2 linked regions of the Struthio camelus genome follow. The protein of the gene in region 2 interacts with the protein of the main gene of each other region in a biochemical or structural test. Links are inferred from orthologs where the notes say so. Each region holds a gene or a part of one and is shown on either strand. Other genes may lie near its edges.

Region 1 (6,918 bases), on a different chromosome or scaffold from region 2:
GGAAAAAACCCCCCAAGAGCTGTCTTAGCCCTCTTGGTCTTCTTACCGGAGATATCCACGACTCTGATGGCAGAAGCCCGGGGGAATTTCTCGCGCAGGACTCGGGCCACCCTGGCCTCCCCATCCGTCTGCGAGCTGAAGGGTCTCCAGGCGCTGCAGCGCAGCAAGAGCTGGGGGCGCCGAGGCAGCCGTCAGCGCCGCAGGCAGCACCCCTCGGAGCCGGGACGCTTCCCGCAGCAAACATGGACTTGGGGGGGGGGGGTCCCTTCACCAGGGCTCACCCCCAACCACTACCAAAGTTGGGGACCATCACCAGCATGGGGGGGGGTGGTATCAGAGGGGGCAGGGTGGGGAGAAGGTCCCTTCACTGTTACCTGGGGTCCAGGGCACCAGGAGAAGGGGAAGGCAGCCAGCACCAGGACAGGATGGGGGGCACCAGGAGAAGGTTTTGGGGGGGGGGGGGGGTGTGGCCTTCACCATGGACTGGGATGGGGGGGGGGGCTCCTTCATCATGGACTGGGATGGGGGGGGGGGGGCTCTTCCAGCACGGACTGGGATTGGGGGGGGGGGGGGCTCCTTCACCATGGACTGGGATGGGGGGGTGCCCCGGGGGGGGGGGGGGCGCTCCTTCACCATGGACTGGGATGGGGGGGGGGGCACCTTCACCATGGACTGGGATGGGGGGGGGGGCTCTTCCAGCATGGACTGGGATTGGGGGGGGGGGGGGGCTCCTTCACCATGGACTGGGATGGGGGGGGGCTCCTCCAGCACGGACTGAGATGGGGGGGGGGGGCGCCTCCTTCACCATGACAGGGATGGGGGGGGCGCCCGGGGGGGGGGGGGGCGCTCCTTCACCATGGACTGGGATGGGGGGGGGGGGGCTCTTCCAGCATGGACTGAGATGGGGGGGGGGGCTCCTCCACCATGGACTGAGATGGGGGGGGGGCTCCTTCACCATGGACTGGGATGGGGGGAGGGGCGCTCCTTCACCATGGACTGGGATGGGGGGGGGGGCTCTTCCAGCATGGACTGAGATGGGGGGGGGGGCTCCTCCACCATGGACTGAGATGGGGGGGGGGGGGCTCCTTCACCATGGACTGGGATGGGGGGGGGGGGCTCTTCCAGCATGGACTGAGATGGGGGGGGGGGCTCCTCCACCATGGACTGAGATGGGGGGGGGGGGCTCCTTCACCATGGACTGGGATGGGGGGGGCGCTCCTTCACCATGGACTGGGATGGGGGGGGGGGCACCTTCACCATGGACTGGGATGGGGGGGGGGCTCTTCCAGCATGGACTGGGATTGGGGGGGGGGGGGCTCCTCCAGCACGGACTGGGATTGGGGGGGGGGGGCGCCTCCTTCACCATGACAGGGATGGGGGACGCCCGGGGGGGGGGGCGCTCCTTCACCATGGACTGGGATGGGGGGGGGGCACCTTCACCATAGACTGGGATGGGGGGGGGGCTCTTCCAGCATGGACTGGGATTGGGGGGGGGGGGGCTCCTTCACCATGGACTGGGATGGGGGGGGGGGGCTCCTCCAGCACAGACTGAGATGGGGGGGGGGGCGCCTCCTTCACCATGACAGGGATGGGGGGCGCCCGGGGGGGGGGGCGCTCCTTCACCATGGACTGGGATGGGGGGGGGGGGCTCTTCCAGCATGGACTGAGATGGGGGGGGGGGCTCCTCCACCATGGACTGAGATGGGGGGGGGGGCTCCTTCACCATGGACTGGGATGGGGGGGGGGCACCTTCACCATGGACTGGGATGGGGGGGGGGGGCTCTTCCAGCATGGACTGGGATTGGGGGGGGGGGGCTCCTTCACCATGGACTGGGATGGGGGGGGGGCTCCTCCAGCACGGACTGGGATTGGGGGGGGGGGCGCCTCCTTCACCATGACAGGGATGGGGGGCGCCCGGGGGGGGGGGGCGCTCCTTCACCATGGACTGGGATGGGGGGGGGGGGCTCTTCCAGCATGGACTGAGATGGGGGGGGGGGCTCCTCCACCATGGACTGAGATGGGGGGGGGGGGCTCCTTCACCATGGACTGGGATGGGGGGGGGGGGCACCTTCACCATGGACTGGGATGGGGGGGGGGGGCTCTTCCAGCATGGACTGGGATTGGGGGGGGGTGGCTCCTTCACCATGGACTGGGATGGGGGGGGGGGGGGCTCCTCCAGCACGGACTGGGATTGGGGGGGGGGCGCCTCCTTCACCATGACAGGGATGGGGGGCGCCCGGGGGGGGGGGGGCGCTCCTTCACCATGGACTGGGATTGGGGGGGGGGGGCTCTTCCAGCATGGACTGAGATGGGGGGGGGGGGCTCCTCCACCATGGACTGAGATGGGGGGGGGGGGCGCTCCTTCACCATGGACTGGGATGGGGGGGGGGGCACCTTCACCATGGACTGGGATGGGGGGGGGGGGGGCTCTTCCAGCATGGACTGGGATGGGGGGGGGGGGGCTCCTTCACCATGGACTGGGATGGGGGGGGGGGCTCCTCCAGCACGGACTGGGATTGGGGGGGGGGCGCCTCCTTCACCATGACAGGGATGGGGGGCGCCCGGGGGGGGGCGCGCTCCTTCACCATGGACTGAGATGGGGGGGGGGGGGCTCTTCCAGCATGGACTGAGATGGGGGGGGGGGGCGCTCCTTCACCATGGACTGGGATGGGGGGGGCCGCCGGGGGGGGGGGCGGGCTCCTCCACCATGGACTGAGATGGGGGGGCCGCCGGGGGGGGGGGGGCGGGCTCCTCCACCATGGACTGAGATGGGGGGGCCGCCGGGGGGCGGGCGGCTCCTCCGCCGGGACCGGGGCGGGGGGGGGGGCACAGAGAGACGGACCCCCCCCCCCAGAAGCTGGGAGGAGGGAGTCCCGGGCAAGGACAAGGCGCCCCCACCCCCTACCCTGGACTGGGCGGGGGCACACACGGACGGACGGACAGACTCACCGGCCGGCGGCCCAGCAGCCCCGCGCCCGCCCCGGCCCCGGCGGCGGCCATAGTGGGCGGCGCCCCGCGGGGTCACGCGCCGCCCGGCCAATGGCAGCGCGCCCCGCCCACGGGGGCGGCACCCGCCCCGGCACCCGCGGCGGCGGCGGCGGCGGCCGCGGCGGCGCCCTCTGGCGGCCCGGCGGACCCGCGGCGCTCCGCACCGCCCCCGCGGGCGGGGGACCCCGCGGATAGGGACCCCATGGACAGGGGACCCCCATGGACAGGGGACCCCCATGGACAGGGACCCTCATGGACAGGGACCTCCATGGACTGGGGACCCCCATGGACAGGGACCCTCATGGACAGGGACCTCCATGGACTGGGGACCCCATGGACAGGGACCTCCATGGACAGGGACCCTCATGGACAGGGGACCCTATGGACAGGGAACCTCCATGGACAGGGGACCCCCATGGACTGGGAACCCTATGGACAGGGACCTCCATGGACAGGGACCCTCATGGACAGGGGACCCTATGGACAGGGACCTCCATGGACAGGGACCCTCATGGACAGGGACCCTCATGGACAGGGGACCCCCATGGACAGGGACCCCATGGACAGGGACCCTATGGACAGGGACCTCCATGGACTGGGGACCCCCATGGACAGGGACCCTCATGGACAGGGACCTCCATGGACAGGGGACCCCATGGACAGGGGACCCTATGGACAGGGACCTCCATGGACAGGGACCCTCATGGACAGGGGACCCTATGGACAGGGGACCTCCATGGACAGGGGACCCCCATGGACTGGGGACCCTATGGACAGGGACCTCCATGGACAGGGACCCTCATGGACAGGGGACCCTATGGACAGGGACCTCCATGGACAGGGACCCTCATGGACAGGGGAACCTATGGACAGGGGACCTCATGGACAGGGACCCTCATGGACTGGGGACCCCATGGACTGGGGACCCTATGGACAGGGGAACCCTATGGACAGGGACCTCCATGGCCAGGGGACCCTATGGACAGGGACCCCCATGGACAGGGGACCCCATGGACAGGGACCTCCATGGACAGGGGACCCTATGGACAGGGGACCCCCATGGACAGGGACCTCCATGAACAGGGGACCCCCATGGACTGGGGACCCTATGGACAGGGGACCCCCCATGGACAGGGACCTCCATGGACAGGGGACCCCCATGGATAGGGGACCCTATGGACAGGGGAACCCTATGGACAGGGGACCCCATGGACAGGGGACCCTATGGACAGGGACCTCCATGGACAGGGACCCCGCGGATAGGGACCCCATGGACAGGGGACCCTATGGACAGGGGACCCTATGGACAGGGACCTCCATGGACAGGGGACCCCATGGACAGGGACCCTCATGGACAGGGACCTCCATGGACTGGGGACCCTCATGGACAGGGGACCCTATGGACAGGGGACCCCATGGACAGGGGACCCCCATGGACAGGGACCTCCATGGACAGGGACCCTCATGGACAGGGACCCCGCGGATAGGGACCCCATGGACAGGGGACCCCCATGGACAGGGGACCCTATGGACAGGGGACCCTATGGACAGGGAACCTCATGGACAGGGACCCTCATGGACAGGGACCTCCATGGACTGGGGACCCCCATGGACAGGGACCTCCATGGACAGGGACCTCCATGGACAGGGACCCTCATGGACAGGGACCTCCATGGACTGGGGACCCCCATGGACAGGGACCCTCATGGACAGGGGACCCTATGGACAGGGGACCCCATGGACAGGGGACCCCCATGGACAGGGACCTCCATGGACAGGGACCCTCATGGACAGGGACCTCCATGGACTGGGGACCCCCATGGACAGGGACCCTCATGGACAGGGGACCCTATGGACAGGGGACCCCATGGACAGGGGACCCTCATGGACTGGGGACCCTCATGGACAGGGACCCTCATGGACAGGGACCTCCATGGACAGGGGACCCCCATGGACAGGGACCCTCATGGACAGGGGACCCTATGGACAGGGACCTCCATGGACAGGGACCCCATGGACAGGGGACCCTATGGACAGGGGACCCCATGGACTGGGGACCCTATGGACTCGGGACCCCATGGACAGGGGACCCCATGGACAGGGGACCCTATGGACAGGGGAACCCCATGGACAGGGGACCCCCATGGACAGGGACCTCCATGGACAGGGACCCTCATGGACAGGGACCTCCATGGACTGGGGACCCCCATGGACTGGGGACCCTATGGACAGGGGACCCCATGGACAGGGGACCCCCATGGACAGGGACCCTCATGGACAGGGGACCCCCATGGACAGGGACCTCCATGGACTGGGGACCCCCATGGACTGGGGACCCCCATGGACTGGGGACCCCATGGACAGGGGACCCTATGGACAGGGACCTCCATGGACAGGGACCCTCATGGACAGGGGAACCTATGGACAGGGGACCCCATGGACAGGGACCCTCATGGACTGGGGACCCCATGGACTGGGGACCCTATGGACAGGGGAACCCTATGGACAGGGACCTCCATGGACAGGGGACCCTATGGACAGGGACCCCCATGGACAGGGGACCCTATGGACAGGGGACCCCATGGACAGGGACCTCCATGGACAGGGGACCCTATGGACAGGGGACCCCCATGGACTGGGGACCCTATGGACAGGGGACCCTATGGACAGGGGACCCCCATGGACTGGGGACCCCATGGACTGGGGACCCTATGGACAGGGACCTCCATGGACAGGGGACCCCCATGGATAGGGGACCCTATGGACAGGGCAACCCCATGGACAGGGACCTCCATGGACAGGGGACCCTATGGACCGGGGACCCCTATGGACAGGGACCTCCATGGACAGGGACCCCCCCCATTTCCCACTCCCCACACACAGGAAACAAAAAGGGCTGCTGAATTTGAGTGCAAAAAATAAATATAAAATTTATTAAAACACCCACAATATTTTAAAGATATCAGGAATAATACATTTCACAAACCGGCTGGTTGTGTGTAACTCAGAATAAAATACAAATTAAAAAAAAAAAAGAGGGAAGGATCCATACTTGCAATTTTCAGGCCTCCTAAAAATAAATTTACCGAAACACTGGGGGCAGAGGGGGGAAGTGTAAGAAAAAACACCAACAAAAGGGGGGGGGGGAAATTATACAAAATAAAATTATCGGCATAAATTTACTGTCCTAGTAGTATCTACAGTTTAATACACATTAATCCTATTGCCTTGAGACATTGTAAGATCTACCGCCCGTCACTCAACCCCGGATAAAACTTCATTTCAAGTAACCACAGTCACAAGTCGACGAAAAAGAAAAAAAACGGGGGGGGGGAATAAAAGGAGAAAAAAGGAAAAAAGGAAAAAAAAAGAAAAAAAAGAAAGAAGGAAAAAAGAAAAAGGAAAAGAGGAAAAAATAAAAGAGGAAAAAAGAAAAAAGGAAAAAGGAAAAAGGAAAAAAGGAAAAGGAAAAAAGGAAAAAAAGGAAAAAAAGGAAAAAGGGGGGAAAAAGGGGGAAAAGAATAGGAAAAAACAGGTTAAATCTTCAAGTGTGAGTCACAAGGTTGCCTCCATTGGAGGCCTTGTCACCGAATAGGAAGTCCGAGGGACGAGCCACCCCGGCGGCCGCCGCCGCCCTCTCCGCCTCCATCCGCGCGCCGCTTTGCTTGGGAAAAATCCAACCAAAAAAGCGATGGCCGGGGGGGGGGGGAACAAACCAGAATTAACAGAAGCGCTCGCTAAAACCCCCTGGGGTGGGGGGGGGGTGGGGGAAACCCGACGGAAAGGGGACCGGGGACCCCCCCCCCCCGCCCAAAGCCCGGCCGCGGGCCGCCCGCCCCGGGGACGGACGGACGGACGCCACGGAGCCCAAGGGCGCGCCGTGCCCAGCCAGCGGCGCGCCGTCCCTGAACGATGGCTGCGGAAATGAGG
Region 2 (7,401 bases):
GGCTTAGATCACGTAAACTGCCCATCAGTTAAATTGACCTAGCTGATTTCATACATGTTCTTTGCCTCTATCAATTATGACATGAACTCTGCTTTATTTTCAACCTATGTTTATTTTATTTTTGGGAATATGCTATAAGTCCATGAATTCATTACCCACCTAGAACAGAAATAAACTTGCAAAGTAGATACTGTTTAGATTCTAAATCTAAATCCGTAGTTTTCCATTGGACTCAAGTTTCTACCAATAAAACTCTCAAAACTCTACATTTCTGCTGCTTGACACACAACTTTTTCAAACTATCACATCTTCAAAATGGTCAGGAACTTTTCACAGCTGTTTTTTCAGCGTTCACATTTTAGGCATCCACACAAGTTGTAACAGTGCAATCCAAAACTGTTACGTACACTTCAAGAACTCTCAATGCTCTCAAAACAAAGGATACGTCAGTGCTGCCAGACATTGCCCTAACAGTATGTCCAAATTATTCCCCAGGCATGCAGAACAGCAGGAGCTCAATCTTCCTGAAAAGCTTCAAGAGGAAATAAAAGCGTCTAAGCAGAGCTCCGTGGTTACGGTACATAGGAGACTTCAGGGCACTATCACAAGTCAGGACAACATGGAGATAACTGACTTGGGCAGAAAGGTGTCCCGTTCTGACAAGATGAAATAAGACCTTTTTTCCAACCTTTTTCGTCATCTAATTTAGCCATTTTTTTCCTGCTGCTTCTCCTGTCTAACTCCTCCTGTGAACTGTATAAGAACCTCAAATCGCCAATTCACAACTAGTAATTCTGTTCAGCAGCAAAATGACTGGAAGTAATCTAACTTGAGACTCTAACCTTGAATATTTAAGCACAGCAGTTTGAATATTGGTACTTTTATCACTGATTTCAGAACGAGATGATAATAATTCTTCTAACAGGAAGATCAGCAAAATGTCAGGAGTCCCATTAGTATTTCTTCTGAATGGCAGATTTAAATCATTACCTGGAAAATACAAGAGGCTTCACTTAGACTGATGGAAGATTCGACCAGACAGGAAATAATTATTTCTCTATAACAACAGTGTACATGGGGTCACTGTTCCAAATCTTACCAGCAATAAGTATTGTTATTTCATAATTCAAAAAGCATTTCTGTACCTTGATCATACTAAATATTTTATTAAAAAGCATTCTATTAACCTTAATATTACCTCACAGGCCACTTGTTTCACAAGGTTACAGTGAATTATTATAAATTCAGGTACTTGTAGTTAACCCAGTAAATGGAAATGTTCTCCTAAACCTAACATGTATAGCAGTTTTAAGTGTTCAGCAGATGCTACTCAATTTGCTAAACAATATCAGACTGCAAAATTGCTCTTACTGTTGATAGATCAATAATGACATGGGATAAGTCATTATCTCCGTGGCAACAGAATTATAACTGTCAGAGGAATAATGCACATGTTGCTGCTGCGACTCTTACAGGCATGCCTCGGCTTCCTCACACAGCTGCTCTCTCTGCAAGCCTGGTATGCCCAGAGTACTAACAACCAAGGGCACCTCTTGGACTACAGAGAACGAAACTATAATAGTGGCTACATTATTCTTGGAAGAGCACATCCTCACAAGGGTTTCCACACACTTCAATTTTATATCCTTATTTCATTTCTTTTATTTTCTCTAAGCATCTCCTTGCATAAATAGCTAGACTGAAATTTGGGAAGGCAAATACTATGAAGTTCTCTTGGCAGCCCAACATTTTCTAGGTTGAAGATGTTTACCTGTCTTTCAGAAAAGAAAAATCTTTCTCTTTTAACTCAATTTCCATTTAATTCCCTCCTCACTTCCTAGGATCTTAAAATGGCAAGATTCTTTTTGCTGGATCAAAACTGACAAAGTAGCTCACTCGGTCTATTACAGGTAACACTTAAGCCTCTGCCTGTGGTATCATACCAGTTCAACAAAAACCAGAATTATTTTTTCCTTGCAGAATTTACTAAAATATCATTTGGTAGGAACTGGATGCTACTTATTTTACACATATTGAAGATCTTGCCCCATGTTAGTCACCGTACATGAACTGCAGAAAACACTAACTTTTCTATGTCTTGATCAGCATGACTGTGCTTAGCTCTTTACAGTCTACCTGGCAGCAAAACATACTGATGCACAAAATGCACGATATTTATCAACAACACTGTAACTTCACCTCTTGATTTTTTATTAAAAGTATTTCTGTGTAAGTACAGATACTCTCAAATACTACACTTTTTTGTTTTCAAGCATTTATAACCTATTCACATGGGAAGGGAGTGTAGTTTTGCCACAATTTTCTTTGAAATTTGTTCTAATTAAATTGCAATAAAAGACCACAGAAGCAATGCTTGAAGTTAAGTCAGTTTAGAAATTCAGTGTGAAAAGTACATCTCACTTTTTCTGAGCAAGAGTTTCTGTCTAGAGTATTCTTCAAAGGTTCAAAGCATTTTTTTTGTTTAATTATGCAGAAAATGAAAAATGAGTTGTCACTCAATTGTCAGTTTGATTCTACAAAATGAAAAACTAGAAAACCCAGCCTTCTGAATACTGAAGAAAAGCTTCAGTAAAGCTTTCACATTAGCGTTACCAGGGGAAAAAGTTCTTTTCCTTAAAAAAAGCATGTCAAGTAATATAAATGGCCATTAACATACCAGAAGTCTAAATGGCAGAGCCACAATGCATACTAGTACTCAGGAATATACTTTGATTTGTTATTTGTGGAAAACATTGATTTTGTGCTTTACTTAAAAAACAAACAAACAAAAAAACCCACCCTTCAACACTTTCTCTCTACTTTCAGTACGGACCTAGCTGCTGTAGAAGATTTCTATGCTCTGCTCCAAATCTTTGGCAAAAATTCAGAATCAGCCCAGGAGCGCTAACAAAGTTAGTGGCATACGTGGCTATTTCCAGGACACATTCCAATTTCAGCAGTTTCCTGACTGATACAGTGTGGTTCTGCTGGTCTTTCAGCAAACCAGCCAAGCCTTTCGCACATACAGTTAAACATTCCAGCCTTTGCTCCCATCTCTCCATCTTGCTGCAGTCTCAGCCAGTTGATCCAGCAACATACCAAGCTGCACAAAGGTATCAGTTACTTTAGTACTAGCAGCTAGGACTTATTTTAAGTGAAGCACGCAGAGAACTGCCAGCTCCTTGATAATATCAACTGCCATATTCAGTATGCCCACCAAAACCAAACAAATCAAGCCCAACAACTGAATGCAGTCAAAATGGTCAGTAGAAACAAACAAAGGCACCAAGAAGACCGACACTTCTAGCATGTGTTCCTCCAATGTTTCTTCCACCTACCTAGACAAAAGAACCAAGAAGTACTGATTCAACAGTGCTGCTCTTTTTAGGACACGCTTCTGCCACTACAGCTTACACGTATTTCTACACAGTTCACCGCCAAAGGGCTTTACTCTGCACAGGCAAAAGATACACAAGCGCCCACCCTTTCCGCAGCCACACTTTCCTCACGTTTCATGTCAGCATTTAACGTTGTTTTAGAGCCTCGATCACCTCCCCCCTCCCCCAACCCCAGGGAGCTCTACCACAGTCTGCATTACCAGAGACCTGACTGAAAGAAACCAGTCTCCCGTCCTCAGCGCTGAGAGCGCTGGTTTTTATTAGCCACAACCCCCATGCGTCGAAACAGACCCCAAACGCAGCGCCCGCTCCGCTCCGCCCGAGAAGCGCCAGGCCCTGCCCGCACACAGAGGCTCCGGCGGGCACCCAGCACCGACGAACCGCCGCCCACGGCCTGCCGCGCCACATGGCCCAGACCGGCCCGACCCAGCTCGGTCCGGCAGCGGGGACACAGCAGGCCCGCATCCTCCCAAGCGGGCTAGGGGCAAGGAGGCCGGGCCGGGCCGGGCCCCGCCGCGGGCCGTGAGGCGGCTGAGAGGCCGCAGGCGCCTCTGGCCGCACCGCCACGAGCGCGGCCGTTACCCGGAAGCGGAAAGAGCCGCGCGCTCACCCCGCCTACGGCTCCCCGGGCAAAACACGGCCCTGGGGCAGCGCGACCAACAGCGGCTGGGGAAGGGGAGGCGGGATTAGCCAAATTAGATCGGAGTGGCAGATGCCCCACCCAATGCAACTGCGGCAACTCGATTCCTCCACAAATAGGAAAGCAGGGTGTCTTTAGCGTTGACGGGTGGGAGCAGGCTGGCTGGCTCCTAGTGCTACTGGCTAGTGGCGTTGATTGGCAGGCAACTACTCCTATGCGGAAGAGACGCTCCTCGTGACCTGTTCTCCTCTCTACCAATAGGCGGGCGGCGGCGGGGGCTGCGGGCCGGCGGAGCGCGGCGGGGGCAGCAGCGGCCGCGGGGCAGGATGAGTGGGGCCCTGCGCGCGGCCTGGCGGCTGCGCGGCGCCGCGCGGGGCTGGGCCGGGCGGCGGCGGCTGAGCCAGGCGGCGGCTGGCGGGGCCGAGGACGGCGGCGGCGATGGCGGCGGCGGCTCGGGGTCGCGGGAGGCGGTGGAGCGGCTGGTGCGGGCGCACCCGGTGGTGGTGTTCATGAAAGGCAGCCCGGCGCAGCCGCTCTGCGGCTTCAGCAACGCCGTGGTGCAGATCCTGCGGCTGCACGGCGTGCAGGACTACCGCGCCCACGACGTGCTGCAGGACCCCGACCTCCGCCAAGGTCAGCCGCCGGGCCGGGCCGCGGCCCGTGGGGCGGGTGTCGCGCCGCGAGGGGTCACCTTCAGTCACGGCCTGCGCGGGGCTGCGGCTGCGGGGAGTTGAAAATCGCCCCGAGGCCCGCGCCGTGCCCCCGTCTGCGTGTCCCTTCCCCTCGACGGTGTGGCGAGGCGCGTTTGTTACGGGGATCAGCAGCCCTTTGCCCGCAGGGTGCTCAGGCCACGCAAACCCTGCCTTGCGCAGTGTCCGTTTCCATACCCGCAACGCCCCCCAGGGAGTCCGGCATGTATGACTCTGCCCCCAAAACTTACTTTTGTTACGTTTTCTCACTTTCTCGTGCGCTATTTATTGCTCGAAAAATTGGGTCGTTAGATCACCAAGCTGATAATTATGTGGTATTCCTTTTATTTATTTATTTTTTTCCTTCAGAGATATCAGTTTCTTTTGCTTTCTTTCTTGTTTTCTGCTTCATAAGAAGGCTTACATCCCAGGGGCTTGGGGGTGTGTGGAATGCAAAGCATATTGCAGAGATGAAGTTCAGAGATTGCCCTGCCTAGATGTGTCTGTTTGACTTCTGTAATGCTTATTGCGTCTCTGAGCGTTTTAATTACATACAGAATACAGTTATGCTTATAGGGAAATTCTTGGAGACCGGGCTTTTCATGCCATGCTGCTTTTCCTAATTAATAGATACAAGATTGTATTAAGAGACTCCTAAAATACTTCATTTTCTAATCAGAATTTTTATTTTCCTGGCAAATACAACAGTATTGTGAAACTTGATGGGTAGCTTGGAAAAGCTCAGGCTTGTGCTGTTGTGTTCTCTGCTGGCACTGCCAGCCGAGGATCTCTACTACTTTTCACAAAAGTACAAAATTATGCTTGCTTTATGCCAGTTACTTGTGCAAGAAATATTTATTAGAAGCTTCACTATTACTACTCAAGTGGTAGGAACTACCGTATATGAGGTATTTTTGCCGATTTGTAGAATGCAGATTCTCTGCTCACCCGATGCTTTTGTGCTATCTTTCCCTGTTGGAAATGCATAGTTGGCCAACCGTTGACGTTGCATGTGGTTATTTGAGAAAGTTTTAAACAGAAAAAGTATGTAGTAATTGGTCTTGCAGGTGCATAGCATTAGTATTTCAGAGAATATGCTAAAATGTGTATTAAATCTCCGTTCTGCAGAAAAAAGTAGTGCTGGCATGTATCAAGTGACTTCCCATATGTTTTTGATCTCAGCTGACTTAGTTTTTCATTAGCTGTTAGCTGAAATGCTGATTCTCTAGTCTTGCTCCCCTAAGATGCTTTTCGATTCACAGCTATAATTGTATAAAAACTTAAATAGTAGAATTTTGCTGTGCTTGTGACATGCTTTATTAATGAAGGTTGGATTTATTAATTTATTTAAATAAATCTCTTTACCAGCCTTTGGCAAGTGAACAAATCGTGGTAGTTTTCTAAGCTTTAATGCATATTTACATTTATTAATCTTATGGTTTACTAGAACAAATTGGTAAATTACAAGACCTTTGTGCCCGCTCCCCAATTCATTGAAATCAAGTGTTCAGCGTTTCATTTTTGGTAGAGAGGGCTTTCATGAACACTTGAATGGGCAATGCTTAGGTCAGTTACTGTCTCTGAGGATTGGACCACGTGGATAGATTTGTATTTTTTTTTCTATGAAACAAGAACATTTCCCTTTTGAGCATAATTTTTTTTCTATGAAACAAGAACATTTCCCTTTTGAGCATAGCAAACGTTTCTTCCAGATGATCTTTGACTTGTGTTAGGTGATCTGAGAAGTTAGTGCCCTCCTGGGTACCTGAGCTTGAAATTGAAATTAGTGGTTTACTCTGGATTGTTTGGATAATTTTGGATAACTTTGTTTCGCACTGAATGCAGCAGCTGAGGATGCACTTGCACATTTCTGATCGTTGTTAGATGCTGAGAGGAGTATATTCTGTTCTGTTCCCTTCCTTGCAGCAGCTTTGGCACTTTCCCCACTGCGCAGAGAGCCAACTTAGTTTATTAATGGGTTTCTGGGCTCGTGAGTTGAACTAGCTTTTTGTAGTGTGCGGTGAATGCTAGAGCCAGCATGAGAGATGGAGCCTTGAGATGAGGACCTGGGGAATAGCGTCATTGCTCTCAAGGCCAGTGGCTGTTATATTGCTTCAGCTGTATTACCTATTGCACCCTGAAAAGTCAGTATATGCTTCTGTCAGTGGATGGCTGCCTCTGTCAGAGGAGAAGGCTGGGCTGCTGTAGCTCTAAATTTTCCAGGGTGATTTACCTGTGATTGAAGGCCCTCCTAGTCTGTTCCTGGATCTGGAGATATAGCTATGAAGATATCTAATGCACCTCTTCAATTAGAGAAACTACTGCTCTGCATAGGAGAATAGTTTGATAATTCTTTAATCTGACACAGCATTCATGAGTGCTAATGCTGGCAAAAGACAGACTGAGAATTTGTCACTGGAGCTGGGGAGTTGGGGTGGCAGTGCTCTAGATACCCTTTTCAGTAGCCATTTGCATAGACTCTGGTTTCACAATCGGCTTTAAATGTGCCAGTTCAGCTGTCAAGCTTTAAATCAGATCTGTGGATTGTGGTTTTACAAAACAAACAAGCAATATTTAAAAAACAGAAGCCTACAGTTTTTTCACTGCCTCAGTTGTGTGAATGAGCTCTTTGCAGCTGTGTAAGTGCAGCTGGAAAGCGTTAACCTCCAGGGCA

Evidence for each region. The genes of interacting proteins can lie anywhere in the genome.
Region 1: the proteins of GLRX5 (region 2) and BOLA3 form a complex in vitro, tested with the Homo sapiens proteins (4 studies listed by BioGRID and IntAct, with this or other methods). The link is inferred for Struthio camelus from reciprocal best matches to the Homo sapiens genes GLRX5 and BOLA3.

What each region holds. Positions count from the first base shown.
Region 1 is NC_090968.1:1,073,186-1,080,103, reverse strand, and holds the start of BOLA3 (bolA-like protein 3), read right to left. Parts: upstream 3,043-6,918; 5' UTR 3,001-3,042; coding exon 2,950-3,000; intron 171-2,949; coding exon 47-170; intron 1-46. Other genes in the region: collagen alpha-1(VII) chain-like, read left to right, coding at 3,191-5,740. UniProt on the Homo sapiens protein: Acts as a mitochondrial iron-sulfur (Fe-S) cluster assembly factor that facilitates (Fe-S) cluster insertion into a subset of mitochondrial proteins. Probably acts together with NFU1.
Region 2 is NC_090946.1:67,511,410-67,518,810, forward strand, and holds the start of GLRX5 (glutaredoxin-related protein 5, mitochondrial), read left to right. Parts: upstream 1-4,362; 5' UTR 4,363-4,364; coding exon 4,365-4,671; intron 4,672-7,401.